4 separate regions of the Mus musculus genome follow, and all the other regions are reported to be linked to region 3. The links are microRNA targets in miRTarBase. Many come from high-throughput screens and were not tested one by one. Region 3 holds a microRNA gene; each other region holds the end of a gene's coding sequence.
What was found. Region 3 holds the annotated microRNA mmu-miR-466i-5p (UGUGUGUGUGUGUGUGUGUG, at 2,530-2,549, shown strand). A microRNA usually pairs through its seed, bases 2 to 8, with sites in the 3' UTR of a target mRNA and lowers its output. Matches are read on the target gene's strand: a 7mer-m8 pairs with bases 2 to 8, a 7mer-A1 pairs with bases 2 to 7 and ends in A, and an 8mer does both.

Region 1 (3,000 bases), not on the chromosome of region 3:
ACTGTCTAGGAAGGCAAATGGCTTGGCTATTGATTGGAAGTTCATGGCTAGGTTGAGGACTTAGCCCAACCACAGCGGCTGCCACCCAGAACTAGCCCAGGCTTCCAGAGATGGGCAGGGCTGGGACAGGGAGGGACTGAGAAGCCAGATATGGAGCCTAGGCAATTCCAGGGCAGATCAGAGTCCCTCACCAGAACTTTCCACACTTACGCTGAAGCGCTCCCAAGTAGCCCTGATTCAACCCAGCTTCTCAGCATCCTCATGGGGCCAGACAGACACAGTCTTCACCCTCTGAGCTTGCTGGTAGCCATTGCAAGGCTGTCTGAGGTCATCCTGGTGGGGCTTGGTGAGCTGCTCTGTGTACTCCCAGAGGAATGGAGGGGAGCTCTTCCTTCACCCCAAGATGCCTCAGCCAGTAGTGAGCAGAACAGCCACTTCCTGTCCCAGAGCAGTGGCCTAAGGGACAGCTGTATCTGACAGGCGAGGAGCTAAGACTGGACCTGTGGCTCATGCTCCCCATTATCCTGTCCCAAGCCCCTGGCCTACCTGGGTTCTGAACCCAGCACCTTCATCCCCAGGAACTCTGATACACACACACACACACACACACACACACACACACACACACACACACACACGTCATATGCTAAAGTCTATTTTGGAATTTGTAAATGTCCCTTGCAGTAGGAAACAGAGCTAATTTATCATTGTATCTCCCAAGTCTCCCCTTTTTATATTCTATATTAAGAGAAATTTTGTAATATAAAACAGGACACCACGCAGATTGTTTCTCATTGGTTGTTTTTTGTTGTTGTTGTTGTTTTCTTGTGACTGTTTCTTACAAAAAGAAAAAGGGACCAAGAATAAATAGTGACCATGACAGAGGCAGTCTTGGGGGCCAGGCAGAAGCATGACAAGAGGAGCTGGGGATGGGGTGGGGGAGAGCAGTCAGGGCACTCTGAGCCCAGACTCAGAGTGGGGCTCTATCTCCATCACTGCCTCCTTCCAAGCAGGTGTCTCCCGGAGGCCACATATGCCTTGACCCCACCCACCTAAATGTATCACTGCAGTTTAACCAGGGTGACCTGGGCTCCTGCTGCTGAGGGGAAGCCTGGCGGATGTCCCTGCAGGCTGCGCAGGGCTGGCGTCTTCCATTTCTACGACTACCTCCCTTGGGACTGTATCTGTATTTGTGGAGGATTCAAGATGATAAATCTTCAACACCTCTGAGAATGGTGTCAACAAATGTCACCTGGTCTACGGTAGTTGGGACTGTACTAAGAGCTGGCAGTGGCAGGGTCCATGGTCCGAGTAAAGAGGTGGGACTGAGGGACTGGCACCAAGCCAGTGACAAGAGGCAGGTATACACAATGGGCCCTTCCTGAACACGCAGGGAATCGCTACTCTGCCAGACCTTGGTTACAGAAGCAGCCCCGGCCACTGCTGGGCACATCCTCCACTGAGTTCCCTCCACTAGGCAAAGGCCATGGTCACAGAGCACTTGGCAGCAGGAACAACCGAGCCCAGGGAGGCTGTGAGCCCAGGTGCCCTAGAGAAAGATTCCTCGGGTATAGGGGACCACCCCCTTGCAGAAGGGAGAAGCCTCGGGCCAAATCTCTTAGTGTGCTTGCTGCTGAAGGGTAGGGAGGTGCTGGGAGCTAGGGCCAAGGGGAGGGGCCACACAGGCTGGTGGCACCAGGGGTGTGTCTTCAGCTCTAGAGGCCCACTTAGGGGCTGCTAAGGGATGGCAGACTCTTGAATCTCCTTCCGTTGTTGCATGTGAGCAGCTATTGGCTTTAACCCGTAGGCCTTGGGGCAGCCTCAGGAGGGGATCTGGAGGAGGCACTGAGCCAGGTGTGTAGCCATGCAGGCCTTGGAGGCCATGCCGAGGAAATGTCCCCACTTGTCCTCTCCTCAGAATTCCTCATGCACTAGGAGCCTATGGGCAGCTAGGAGCCAGGGACTATCAGGCCTGTGGTACATTGCCTAACCCTAGCCTGTCGGGAAGGGACTCTGGTGCTCTGGGACGCAGGCGGCCAGCCAGAGAATCAGAGTACCCTCCAGCAGGCCAAAGAGAGAGATGTGCAGGCTGAGGCTGGGGAACTTGGCCCAAGGGAGGCAGTCACTCCCCTTGCTAGATGTCCTCAACTGGATCTCTAGAAACACCGTGTGTGTGTGTGTGTGTGTGTGTGTGTGTGTGTGTGTGTGTGTGTGTGTGCGTGTGTGATGAGGGACTCACACATCGGGTTTCTGGATGGGGAGAAGCTGAGAGCCCCTGCTGGGGCCGACACAACCTCCTAGAAAGGGCTTCCTGGCAGAGGAACTCACCTTGACTCAGCCCAGACCCTAAAACTTACTCTAGACTCTGCCTGTTAGAGTCTAGAGGCCAAGAAACACAGGGCAAGGAGTTGTCCCTGCACAAGGGTGAGGGGTGGGGTGCAGAGGCCACAGCCTGGTCTGTCACTCCTAGAATCCCAGGAGACCCAAGATGACTCCGTGGAGTGCCTGGGAGGGAAGGAAGGCGTGTGCACCCTGCCTGCCTGCAGGCCTGTCTAGGACCCATGGACAGTGAAGTCCCCAGCTGCTCGGGCCCAGGTCCAGGCCCAGGCAGGTCCCAGCCTGCTACACTTTTTTGGGTTTCCGGCCGACTTGGTAATAGTAGTAGATGCTGACAATAACAAAGAGGAGGCGGCTGGCCAGGAGCAGCACGGTCCCCAGGGACATGAGGCCCGTCTCAGCAAGCGTGGCAGTGACCACTGTGAAGGAAGTCGGGGGAGGCAAAGGTCAGGAGCAGACACGTGCTTGAGCCTCTCCCATCATGACGCTAGGCTAGGCTGAATACCCTCGACCATCCCTGTGGTGAGTGGGACTGCAGGCTGACGACCTCCAGAAGCCTAACACCAGCCTAGGCCAGTCTGCTGCCCCCAAGTGGCAGGTGCCTAGAAGTGCATCCTGAGTGTCAGGCTTGGAGGGAACGGCTGGGCTGTGGATTCAGGACAC
Region 2 (3,000 bases), not on the chromosome of region 3:
TCACACACAGACACATGCTAACTCCACACAAACATGTGCGTCTCACACATACATACATACACACATACATATGCACATACACGCACAGGAGACACTGAAGCCAGTTGGCTTGGAGAGCGGTAGTTAGGTTCAGGCTGAGTGCCCTCCCCATCCAACCCTCCCCTTAGCATGATGTCTCTCGAGCCCACATCCCCTCAGACTGTCTTCTTTCACCAGGATCTTTGGGTTTGTGGCCAAGAGCCAGACAGAACCACAAGAGAACGTGTGCCACCTCTTCGCAGAGTACGATGCGGTCCAGCCAGCTTCCCAGGTCATCAGCCTAGTGACTGCTCTGCTTCAGGACACAGAAAGGATGTAGAAGGGTGCCATCTGTGTGCCTTCTCTGACATCTCAAGGGACTTGCCCAGGACATGGAACTGTGGCCTCCTTGACAAACCTATCTCTTGGACTCAAGTTGGATTGATCAAGTTGAACCCTTTGAACCTGATGTGACTTCAGCAATAACCTTCACCTGACTCTGGAGCCTCCGTCTCTTCGATTATAAAGACACCCGTCCTTAAGACAGCCGCTCCTTGGACACTCGGCTGGAAGTCTTTAGTGTGTTCCTCCATACTACTGAAGCCCACCCACATCCAAGATCCCTTATGTAAAAACTGTCTGCAAGGACCGTCTGGCTTCATTTCCCTGAGCACTCCCTACATGGTAGGTTGTACCAGAGACCTATGACCCCTGCCTTGTGGTAAACAGCAGGTGTTGGATCAGAACCATCGATTTCCTGGCTGGCACCTGGTGTTGATTCGCGGAGTTTGGGGACAGATTCTATTTCCCCACACCTGTTCCTTTTCTCGGTTTGCTGAGGGCCTCTTGGATCCACTGGCCCAGAGATTTAAAAGTTTGGGGTTGAGGATGTGTGTAGCTCAGTTGGTAGACTGATTGCCCTACATGAACGGGACTGAATTTGATCACCAGCCCCACAAACCATTCTCAATGGTCAATGGTTGTAATCCCAGCACTACAAGGCAGGAAGATCATAAGTTCAAGGTCATTCTTATCTATATAATGAGTTTAAGGCAGTCTAAGCTACATGAGACCCTGTTGAGAGAAAGAGACAGAAAGGCATGCACGTGCGCGTGTGTGCACACGCACACACACACACACACACACACACACACACACACACAATGGGAGTGGGATTAAGGTTTTCATAAATCTCAGCCAATGGTCTTCAAAGCCTTTACCTGAAGAGACCACACTCCAACACGGAGCTGGGGGCATCGCTCCACAAAGACCTGCTGTGGGAAGAGGGTACTGAATGGGCAAGAGCCTACAAGGTTCAGTCTATGATGGAGAGGGGACCAGGTCAAGGGCCTCAGCCAGAGCAGACCAGGCTGCCTCAGAGCATACACCTTATAATGCAACCCACTTCAGCTGGCTTTGGGGAAAGGGGCATCAAATTCAGCCTGCCCCAAGGTTGTCAGAGTCAAGTCTGGGAGCAGAAAAGGGGTGAGTTTTCACATCCCTGCATCTTCTGCTTTGCAATGAAGGTTCTGTCGGTGAGGCCTTCTCTAATGCAGTATTCATGATGTTCTCATTCATGTTCTCATTCATGATGTTCATGATCTTGAGATCTATCTGCTGCAGTTTTTTGACTCCTGTCTGGTGGAACATCCTGGATTTCTTGGATTTTTAGGTGTAATTTGCCAAGGTCTTGGAATCTTTTTCCCAAGAGCATGATAGAAAGATCCCTGGACTCTGCTGTTACAAGCGTGGACTCTTGTCTCACCTCATCAATTATTCTGTGATGTTGAATCAGGATTCTAAAGGCTAGCTTTTTTCAGTAGAAGACCCTTGTACCCACGATTAGAAAAGACTCAGCAGGGCCAGGCAGAGGTGGCGCACGCCTTTAATCCCAGCACTTGGGAGGCAGGCAGAGGCAGGCAGATTTCTGAGTTCAAGGCCAGCCTGGTCTACAGAGTGAGTTCCAGGACAGCCAGAGCTATACAGAGAAACCCTGTCTTGGAAAAAAAAAAAAAAGACTCAGCAATGTTCACATTCTTCATGTCTAATCCCTCCTTGCCCACCCATTACAAATGAACATCATCCCAAACTTTGCTTTCAGTTTCTTGGTAAGCAACAGCTGTCTGGCAATGCTCAAGGAATCCACATCTGGTGGGTAGGAGAAGAGAGACCCTGTTGCTATAGTACAGAGACAAGTATATCTCTGCCCCAGCTCCAGTCTTGCTGGATCCTCCTCCAGCTCCAACACACACACACACACACACACACACACACACACACACACTCATAACCATGTGGCATCACCAACCTTACAACCACAAGGGGGAAGCAGAGAGTCAAGCATGCAGACAGGCAGCTTTCCCAGCTGGTTAAAGAAGCTGGGCCCTTTTCCTCCCACACCCTGCCAGCCTTGCATAAGCCATTTGTTGCAGCATTTGTTGCTCTTGGTCCAGTCCGCCTGCCTCCTTAGGAGACCGTTCCATGACATGCAAGGGGAAGCTCACAGAAGAAGCCCACTGTAACTCAGTGTGAAGCAAGTGTTTGTCCCTGCCCGCTATCAGCCTACAGAGCAACATTGTCATTGGCCAAGGTCAGTCCTGAGGGATGATGATTTCAATGTCAGAAAAGCAAATCAGACCCAAGGGTGGGGGTGGGGGGATGCTAGGTCAGTGGTACAGGCCAAGACCGGCCTTCCCAGTGTGGGATCAGGCTCTGTGCCACTGCCGGGGTCTGCAGGGTGTTAGCAAAGTTTTCCCAGTTAGTAGTGCCAGTTCTAGGCTGAATGGGAGAGTCCTCCACAACTCCCTGTGTGCCTCATGGAAAATAAAGTTTTTTGCACCATAGCTGGTTCTGGACATTCAGAGCTGTCTCCTGAGTCCTGAGCAGAGAAGGGGACCCAACAGAGCAGAGAGTAACATACCAGGACACACCATGCGCATTTTGCATTGACCACAGAGGCCAGAAGAGGGCGTTAGAGCGCCC
Region 3 (4,411 bases):
AGCATCAGGTCTTCCCTGCAGCCATGGAAAGATGAAGGACAGAGGGACAGGAGACTAATGGTAGAGTAGGGATACAGAAGGTAGGTTGTTCTTCCTCCCATTCCCATGCTCCCAGAAATAAGACACAGACTCAAAATATGTTTACAATACCTTGGCCATACAGCTAGGCTCTTCTCTAACTAGGTCAGAACTTAAAATAACCCACCTATGCTCAACTACATTTTGCCACATAGCTGGTTACCTGTGCTCAGGTACCAGGTATCTGTCTTGTCACATCTTCCCCAGTGTATCTCCCACCTGGCACTATCCCAGAATCCTTTCTACCTCACAGATGTCCTACCTCCTATTTCCTGCCAAGTTATAGGTCATCAAATTTATTACTGACAGTTGCCACATGCATACAGACATAAGATATTTTCTCCCCATAGAGATTAATTAGAAGTCAGGATCAGGATTATATTACTCTCCTAGGGTTCCTCCTTCCTCAAGATTTAGTTTCTATATGTGCACAGTTTAAGCAGGCACAGTCAACTGACTATGAAAGCAGAGACAACAGGAGAGAAGACGAGTCCAGGGCTGGAGACTGGATACCACTGACTTCTGCTTCTACACGTGGAGCAGATATATACAGTATCCTTGAGGCAGAAGGAGACAGACACTCTCATCCAGGGATATAGCTGACAGAGAAGAGACATCCACCCCCATACACACATCTCATCCCATCGTCTCTAACATCTGCATACTTGCACTTCACAGCTCACAAGTCTAACCTTCCCAGGTAACTGGCCCATTTGGGTCTGGTGTACCTTCAATCTCTCTTTTTTTATTTTCTTAAAAGAAACATTTGAGAGCTGAGCATCTAAGATGGCTTTGGATTCACACCCACTGTCTGTGGAACAGCTTGAGGCTGACAAGATTAGCTCGCTGGAACGCTCTGGGATCCGTTCAGCCTAAGCTGCTGCCCACACACCAGCCTTGCTCACAGAAGCTGCTTTCCGCAAGCAGCAGCCCGCTTCACCTCCTCCATCCTGGCTCGTGGAACTGGTCCTTGATGTCCTACCTGGTCTTGAGGACAGTGGCTTCCAGCCTCAACCAGTCCTCATTCCCAGATTCCAGGATGTGACCATGGTGATGTCTCAGCCTCTCCAGAGGAGTCCGAAGGGTGATACTTCTGTCCTTCCTCCTCCCATGTCTAATCACCTGATTTTACAGAACCCAGCATAGCGAGCAGTGCTGCAAGCTTCCTTCCCCTCCCTCGGCTCTCTTCTTCTGTCCCTTCTTTCTGTAATATCCAAGGGGACCAGACAGAGTGGGCCTTGATAACACACATTCCCTTGGCTCCAGAGCAGTAGCTTCTAAAACCTGTAAATAAGACAGCTCTATGCCCCTGTGTAGACATACACCCCAAGGATAGGCTGGCTCCCTGGTACCTGTCCAGAGTTGAGAGTTCAAAAGACAGACCAGTGGATAGAAATGCTATCATGCCCACCCACCCCCACCCCGCCAAGCAAGGCCTGCTGGCTCATGTACCTGGCCAGACATTACATGAGCAACGGGCAGTAATTGTTGTCTAATCTCTTCCCAGAGGTTTCAACTAGTTCCAAACTGTTGTGGCTAATAAAAACAGAGAAGATTTGCAAGAAATTCCAGGTGCATCGGAACACTTTGGGGGATTGTGCAGCCTGCAGGCAGACGAAACTTAACTCAAATAAACATAAGGTAATATGTGTTGGCAAAAGTAACCTGAAGTGGGAGTATACAACTGTACGTTTCAAATTGGCTGCTGCCTGTAAGGATGGAGATTGGTAGTAGCTCAGAATGGATGAAGTGGGCAGAGTAGCCAATGTGCATCCCAGAATAACCGAGGCAAATCAGATCTCATCTCACACAGACCCCATCAGTGGCCCAAGATGGAGCACATGACAGATTCCGCAGTCCCACTTTCTACTTTAAGGATGAGGAGACATCGTGGAGTGGCCTCCAGATTTAGGGGTCTCCTGTGAGCCAGGAATGTGTGGTCATGTTCTCAATGGAGCGAGTAAAAGAAAGTGTCTGTTTTTGTTCATTGAAGTCATTGACTCCAAGCCCTGGAAGCTGCCATGTTACCTCCATCTGCTGCCTAACTCTCAGGGCCACATTTAGATAAAGAGCCGAACTTCTGAACTGCAACAGCCCTGGACTTCAGTCAATTCCCTACTTTCTTACAGAAAAGAAAATATTGAAAAGCTGTATTATGGTGTCTTATATGAATGTGCTAGTTTCCAGGATGGGAGGGGCTGTATATTCACCTATATTCACACACATATACATGTGTGCATGTGATATACATTCATGTACACCCTCCTATAGAAATAAGTGTATGTGTGTGTGTGCATGCATATGTGTATATGTGTATGTATGTGTGTGCATATACACATGGGTGTGCATGTGCATGAGTGCATGTACGTGTATATGCATGTTCTCTATTGATATGTGTGTGTGTGTGTGTGTGTGTGTGTGTGTGTGTGCAGGTGTGTATATACATATATATGTGTGTGTGTGTGTGTGTGTGTACATGTACATGTGAGTATGTGTGTGTATATGTTTGTACATGTGCATGTGTGTGAGTATGTGAATATATGTGTATATGTGTGCATGTGCATGTGTGTGTATGGTGAGTAGGTGTTACTAATTGTGACTCCGATGGCTGTGTCTCCATCTGGCCTAGGTGACAGGTAAGCAACTGCACTGATCTTTCACAGGTAGCAGCAGCCTTATAGGGCAGGAGAAGACTGGCACCTCTGCACTGGCCGTGACCTTACCTGCAAGCCCCCGAGGAACAGGAGCTTTTTTACTCCTCCATCTTCTGGCTTCCCAAGCAGGTGCTGATATCTTGACAGGGAAGGGGAAATGCTCTGTCCTGGCCCTCTTGCCTCACAGAACTAAAAGCTAAACATGGCTTCAACTACCTCAGCGGCTTTCTTCTCCCACAACCACATGCAGTAGAGAGGCCCAGCGCTGCAGAATACATCTGTGATAGGAGAGGAGAGCTTGGATCTGGAATGTTCTAGAAAGTGATGGAATAATTTGAAATCCAAACTGTCTAAAGGCTGAAGAAGAAAGGAAGCCATTGCCACCTGCAGGAAGCAGCCAGGTCCTTTTGACCTCTCAAAGTTCTTGGCTGTGAGGTTCCATCATTCAGCTGATAAAACAGAGGAACAAATGTTACACAGGGAAGTTCACAGGAAAAGGGTCAGTACAGAGTGTGCAGAGCTTCTGGTGGTATAAAAGCCAGTCACTGAAAACTAGGGACATGTCCTCAGTCCTTGAGACCTGAAGTCATCTCTTCTCTTCTAAGCATCCATTATACCCAGGATTCCACAGCCCTAGGCCTTCTGGAAACAAACTTCATTTCCCCAAAAATTGTCTGCTACCCTAATGCCACCGGAACAAGTTTTTTAGCTCTTGGGTTATAGCTCAATGATGAAACACTTGCCCAGCATATACAAGACCCCAGATTCCACCTCCAACAACAACACAAAGCACGCCAGTACATCTCAGCCTGTGCAGAGGCTCAAATTTCGAAGGAAATAGGAAATAGATTCATTCATTCATTTAGTGACTCTTTCTCTTCTGCTGTGTATGAGACGCTGTGTTAGGCAACACCAGAAATAAGGTAAAGATTTAGCAGGTGACCACAAACGAGAAAGTGCAGTGCGTTCTCCACTTTAATCAGAGCAAGCCAGCAAATAAAATGTTCTAGGCAGTTTGTCTTGGCACCAGCCACAGGAATTTACCTGTGACATCCTAATAAAGAGGACACTGAGACATGACATCCACAAGGACTTGATTGGCTCTCCTGGAGCTGATTGTGCACACCAACCCCCAGGAAATAAGGCCAGGAGGTCTGTGGTGAAGCCTGAGTGTCCACGGTCCAACTGGGTCCTGGGTAACGTGGAAGCTGTTGTGAGTCTTGTCCTCAGAGACATGTATATAGAAAGACTCTAGTTCACCTCACTCTACTGAGCTGCATCTTAGGAAGGGCAATTAAATCCTAGCTATCACCCTGCAGCTGACAGGGCACACACACACTGCCAGCTCTCAACTAACTGGTCACACCCAGGGTATTTTCAGGCTATTATTATTATTATTATTATTATTATTGTATCTCAGAATATTTATATGAATAGCAGAGGAAAAAATATTTATTTACTTCCTTTTAAACATTTTTTTTTCTAAGTCTAACTTTTCATATTGTTGGGAGGCTACAAACTCAAGATTGTTTCCAAGGGATACCTGGAAAGCTAGGATGTCACCAGAATGTAGGACCATCTGCTACAGCAGATACTACTTCCTCCCTTGAGCTGAGAGACTTGGAAAGATTGACCCCAATTAAGAAGATGGGGGAGCAGGCAGGATGAGGAGGGAAGGA
Region 4 (3,000 bases), not on the chromosome of region 3:
AACTGTGTACCAGCCAGCCGCTTAGCTGGGATGGAGGGGTGCCAAAGGTTTGTATGCCATGACCCCATGGGGGTTTCACTAGCTTTTTTTCGCCGTCAGAGCCTAGACCCTGGCTATAGCTAATACAGGTAGCCAGGGTCAGTTCAGACTCCTCCAGCCCCAGGCTAGCACTAGTGGACAGCAATGGCCTGGCTGATGCCTGTCACCTGCTGTTGTCATCGGATCTCACCCTACTCACACAACCCCTGGAGAGAAGAACATCTTGGAAATAAATGTCCAGGTTCTGGACGCTCTAAACTGCCACTGGGTACCATTTTCTAAACTAGGAAGGGACTGCACAGGAGAGCCAAGTGCTGCCAGGCAGCTGTGGGTTCAAAGAGACTGGAAGGCAGGGTCAGAACTCAGACAAGACTCTGCAGAAGGACTCCACCTCTGACTCGCAGGTCAGTGCTCCTTCCCATACATGCTAGAGTGCAGCTTCCCCGGGAGCAGGAGGGCAGGCAGGAGACATGATGGCTCCCTCTGAGTGTGCAATGTACCCCAGGTACTGGGTAGAGAGGATCAGTGGCTTCAGAACAAAGAGCCCCACTGTCAGGGGACAGCTTCCACAAGGGTGGTGTTGAGCCTGGGGCCAGCTTGGCTGAGAAAGCCCAGCTCAAGGGGAGAGCAGTCCACAGAGGGAACACAAAGGACCATCTTAGCTCGGCTTGCTGCAGAGCCACAGGCCTGCCTTGGCCTCTCTGTGAAGGAGTGCTGTACAGGTCACTGCTCAGCACACCACACTGCTGAGTGCGGCCTCCAGCGGGTCTCGGAGGGAGATTACCACCAGGATGTTCCATCTGCTTAAATTTAGACTCCAACCTGAGACTACAGACGTCTGCCTATGAATCACAGGTCTCTAGAAACAGCCATCACGGTGAAGATGGCATCTTACGTCCTAGCAGACTGGGTCAAAGAAATCCATGGTTCTTCCTGGGTTACAGACAACCGAGACTCATCACTACCCTACCGAGGCCTCTCCCCTAGTCCCTGCTTATTCTAAAAACTGATCTTACAGTTAGGGCAACGCTCACTGTAGAGTGCCGTTTAGTGCGGGTCCGGTCCCCAATATGGTGAAATATAAAATTACAGAGAAGCTTGTACCAGATACCACAGCCAGACCATCAGCTGTTGCTGCCACTTGAGTCATCTTCAAAGCAGAACAGCGCCCCCAGCAGGAGTTAAAGAAACACAGCACCCAGGCACAGAGTAAGTGTCTTCCCCTTAGCCTTTTTTTATTCAGATTAATTTTGGTTTAACAGTACCTTTCCCAGCTCAAAGAAAAGCTTCTTACTCATAGTGCCTGTGTTAGTCCATTTTATATCACCGTAACAAAACACCTAAGGCTAAATAGCTTTACAAAGAAATGAGATTGATTTAGCTTTCGGCTCTGAAGGTTCTAGGGCCCACATCTGATGATTGCCCTCTGGCTGGTGGTCCAGAGCTGGCACACAGCAGGAGAGGGGCGTGTTCATTGTCTCTGCTTTCTCCTTGTATGTTAGGGGCTCAGTCCTGATGGCTTTACCTCCTCTTAGTCACCATCTAAGTATACCACTTCTAAACACCATGAAATTAATATAAAAAATAATAATAAAAGAAAAAAATCAAAATTTAAAAGTTTTTTTTTTGGGGGGGGGAGTATTATTTTGAGACTTGGTCTCACCATTTAGCTCTGGTTAGCCTGGAACTTGCTATGTAGACCAGGATGGCCTCCAACTCAGTTACCTGCCTGCCTTTGCTTCCCCAATGTTGGGATTAAAGGTGTGTACCACCATGCCCATCTTATATTTTATCATTTGTAAAAGAGTGTGTGTGTGTGTATGTCTGTGTGTGTGTGTGTGTGTGTGTGTAGGATGTGCACGTGAATACAGATGCCCATGAAGTCCAGAGGCATCAGGTCCCCTGAAGCAAAAGTTATGCTCAGTAATGAGCCACCCGCAGTGCATTCTGGGAATCAAACTCTCATCCTCTGGAATCACAGTAAGCGCTGTTGACCATGAATTTCTCCAGCCGCTAATTTTGACATTTTTAAGTGTGCATGCATGCATATGTGTGTGTGTGTGTGTGTGTGTGTGTGTGTGTGTGTGTGTGTGCTCTAGAGCAAATGAGTGCTGGTGCCTTTGGAGGCAAGGATGTTCCAGGGGCTGGAGTGACAGGTGGTCTTAAGCTGCCAGATCTGAGTTCCGGGAAGCTGAACAACTGGAGTCCTCGGCTAGAACAGCACACAAACCGAACTGCTGAGCCATACCTCCAGCCCAGTAATCCAAAATTTTTAGAACGAGATTAAGTTTCCAGTCTCCGACTCACTACAGAGATTAAATATGCAACCCTCAAGTCTATCCAACCATCTGAAGGCACACAGGCTTAAAAACCATCTCAGAAATGGAACGTTCTCAAGTCAAGAGCTAACACAAAAGCAATCTCATGTGGCCTGTAGTGTCTGGTTCTGCCGGGTTCGCCCCCCAGGCAAAGGACTCCGTCACTGAAGGGCCAAGTTCTTTCCCAAGCTGTTGGGTGAAGTCCACAAGCCCAGTAGAGATCCCTGGGTTCCAGCCTCCACTGCTGCTATTGCTCTGGGCCAGCTGTCTTGGTGGTCACCAGCTCGGTGGAGCCCAGTTCTGTGGCGGGCACCGGGACGCTGTGGCGTGGCAGGGCGCTGTCTGCATCTTCTTTGAGCGGAGGCCAGGTAGGAGCTGAGGCATGAGGGGTTTCTGAGGAGGGTACAAAGACATTTTCCAGGGACTCTGGGGTGGGAGAGGGAGCAGGTAAGATAAGGCAGGAAGGACGGAATCACAGCCCCCCCCCCCCACGCCCGTTCTAGAAGCCTCCTCTGGGACGGCCCTAGGAGGAGGACGGGGAACAGCACGTGACAGGTCTTCAACACAGGAAGTGCTGAGTTCAGAGACTTGATAAGATGAGGTGAGGGAGAGGGGTGTCTGGTCAGCCCACAGGGCATAACCT

Region 1: the mRNA of Trp53i11 is a reported target of mmu-miR-466i-5p. Seed matches in the 3' UTR shown: 7mer-m8 at 2,220-2,226, 8mer at 2,211-2,218, 8mer at 2,209-2,216, 8mer at 2,207-2,214, 8mer at 2,205-2,212, 8mer at 2,203-2,210 and 18 more.
Region 2: miRTarBase lists Tns4 as a target of mmu-miR-466i-5p. Seed matches in the 3' UTR shown: 8mer at 1,144-1,151, 8mer at 1,146-1,153, 8mer at 1,148-1,155, 8mer at 1,150-1,157, 8mer at 1,152-1,159, 8mer at 1,154-1,161 and 28 more.
Region 4: the mRNA of Tnfrsf13c is a reported target of mmu-miR-466i-5p. Seed matches in the 3' UTR shown: 8mer at 2,125-2,132, 8mer at 2,123-2,130, 8mer at 2,121-2,128, 8mer at 2,119-2,126, 8mer at 2,117-2,124, 8mer at 2,115-2,122 and 28 more.

The regions. Positions count from the first base shown.
Region 1 is chr2:93,199,542-93,202,541 of GRCm38, reverse strand. It overlaps Trp53i11 (transformation related protein 53 inducible protein 11), which reads right to left. Exons shown (of 8, transcript NM_001025246.2): 8 at 785-2,756. The coding sequence ends at 2,623. Tspan18 (tetraspanin 18) reads left to right here. Exons shown (of 10, transcript NM_183180.2): 10 at 1-782. Among named protein-coding and RNA genes, the nearest start is that of Trp53i11, 13 kb to the right of the region's middle.
Region 2 is chr11:99,065,539-99,068,538 of GRCm38, reverse strand. Tns4 (tensin 4) reads left to right here. Exons shown (of 13, transcript NM_172564.3): 13 at 217-2,861. The coding sequence ends at 358. Among named protein-coding and RNA genes, the nearest start is that of Tns4, 22 kb to the left of the region's middle.
Region 3 is chr3:85,464,853-85,469,263 of GRCm38, forward strand. It overlaps Mir466k (microRNA 466k), which reads left to right and starts at 2,525; the gene lies at 2,525-2,646. All of the region lies in intron 1 of Gm31419 (a long non-coding RNA gene), which reads right to left.
Region 4 is chr15:82,220,494-82,223,493 of GRCm38, forward strand. It overlaps Tnfrsf13c (tumor necrosis factor receptor superfamily, member 13c), which reads right to left. Exons shown (of 3, transcript NM_028075.3): 3 at 1,249-2,783. The coding sequence ends at 2,605. Among named protein-coding and RNA genes, the nearest start is that of Tnfrsf13c, 2.4 kb to the right of the region's middle.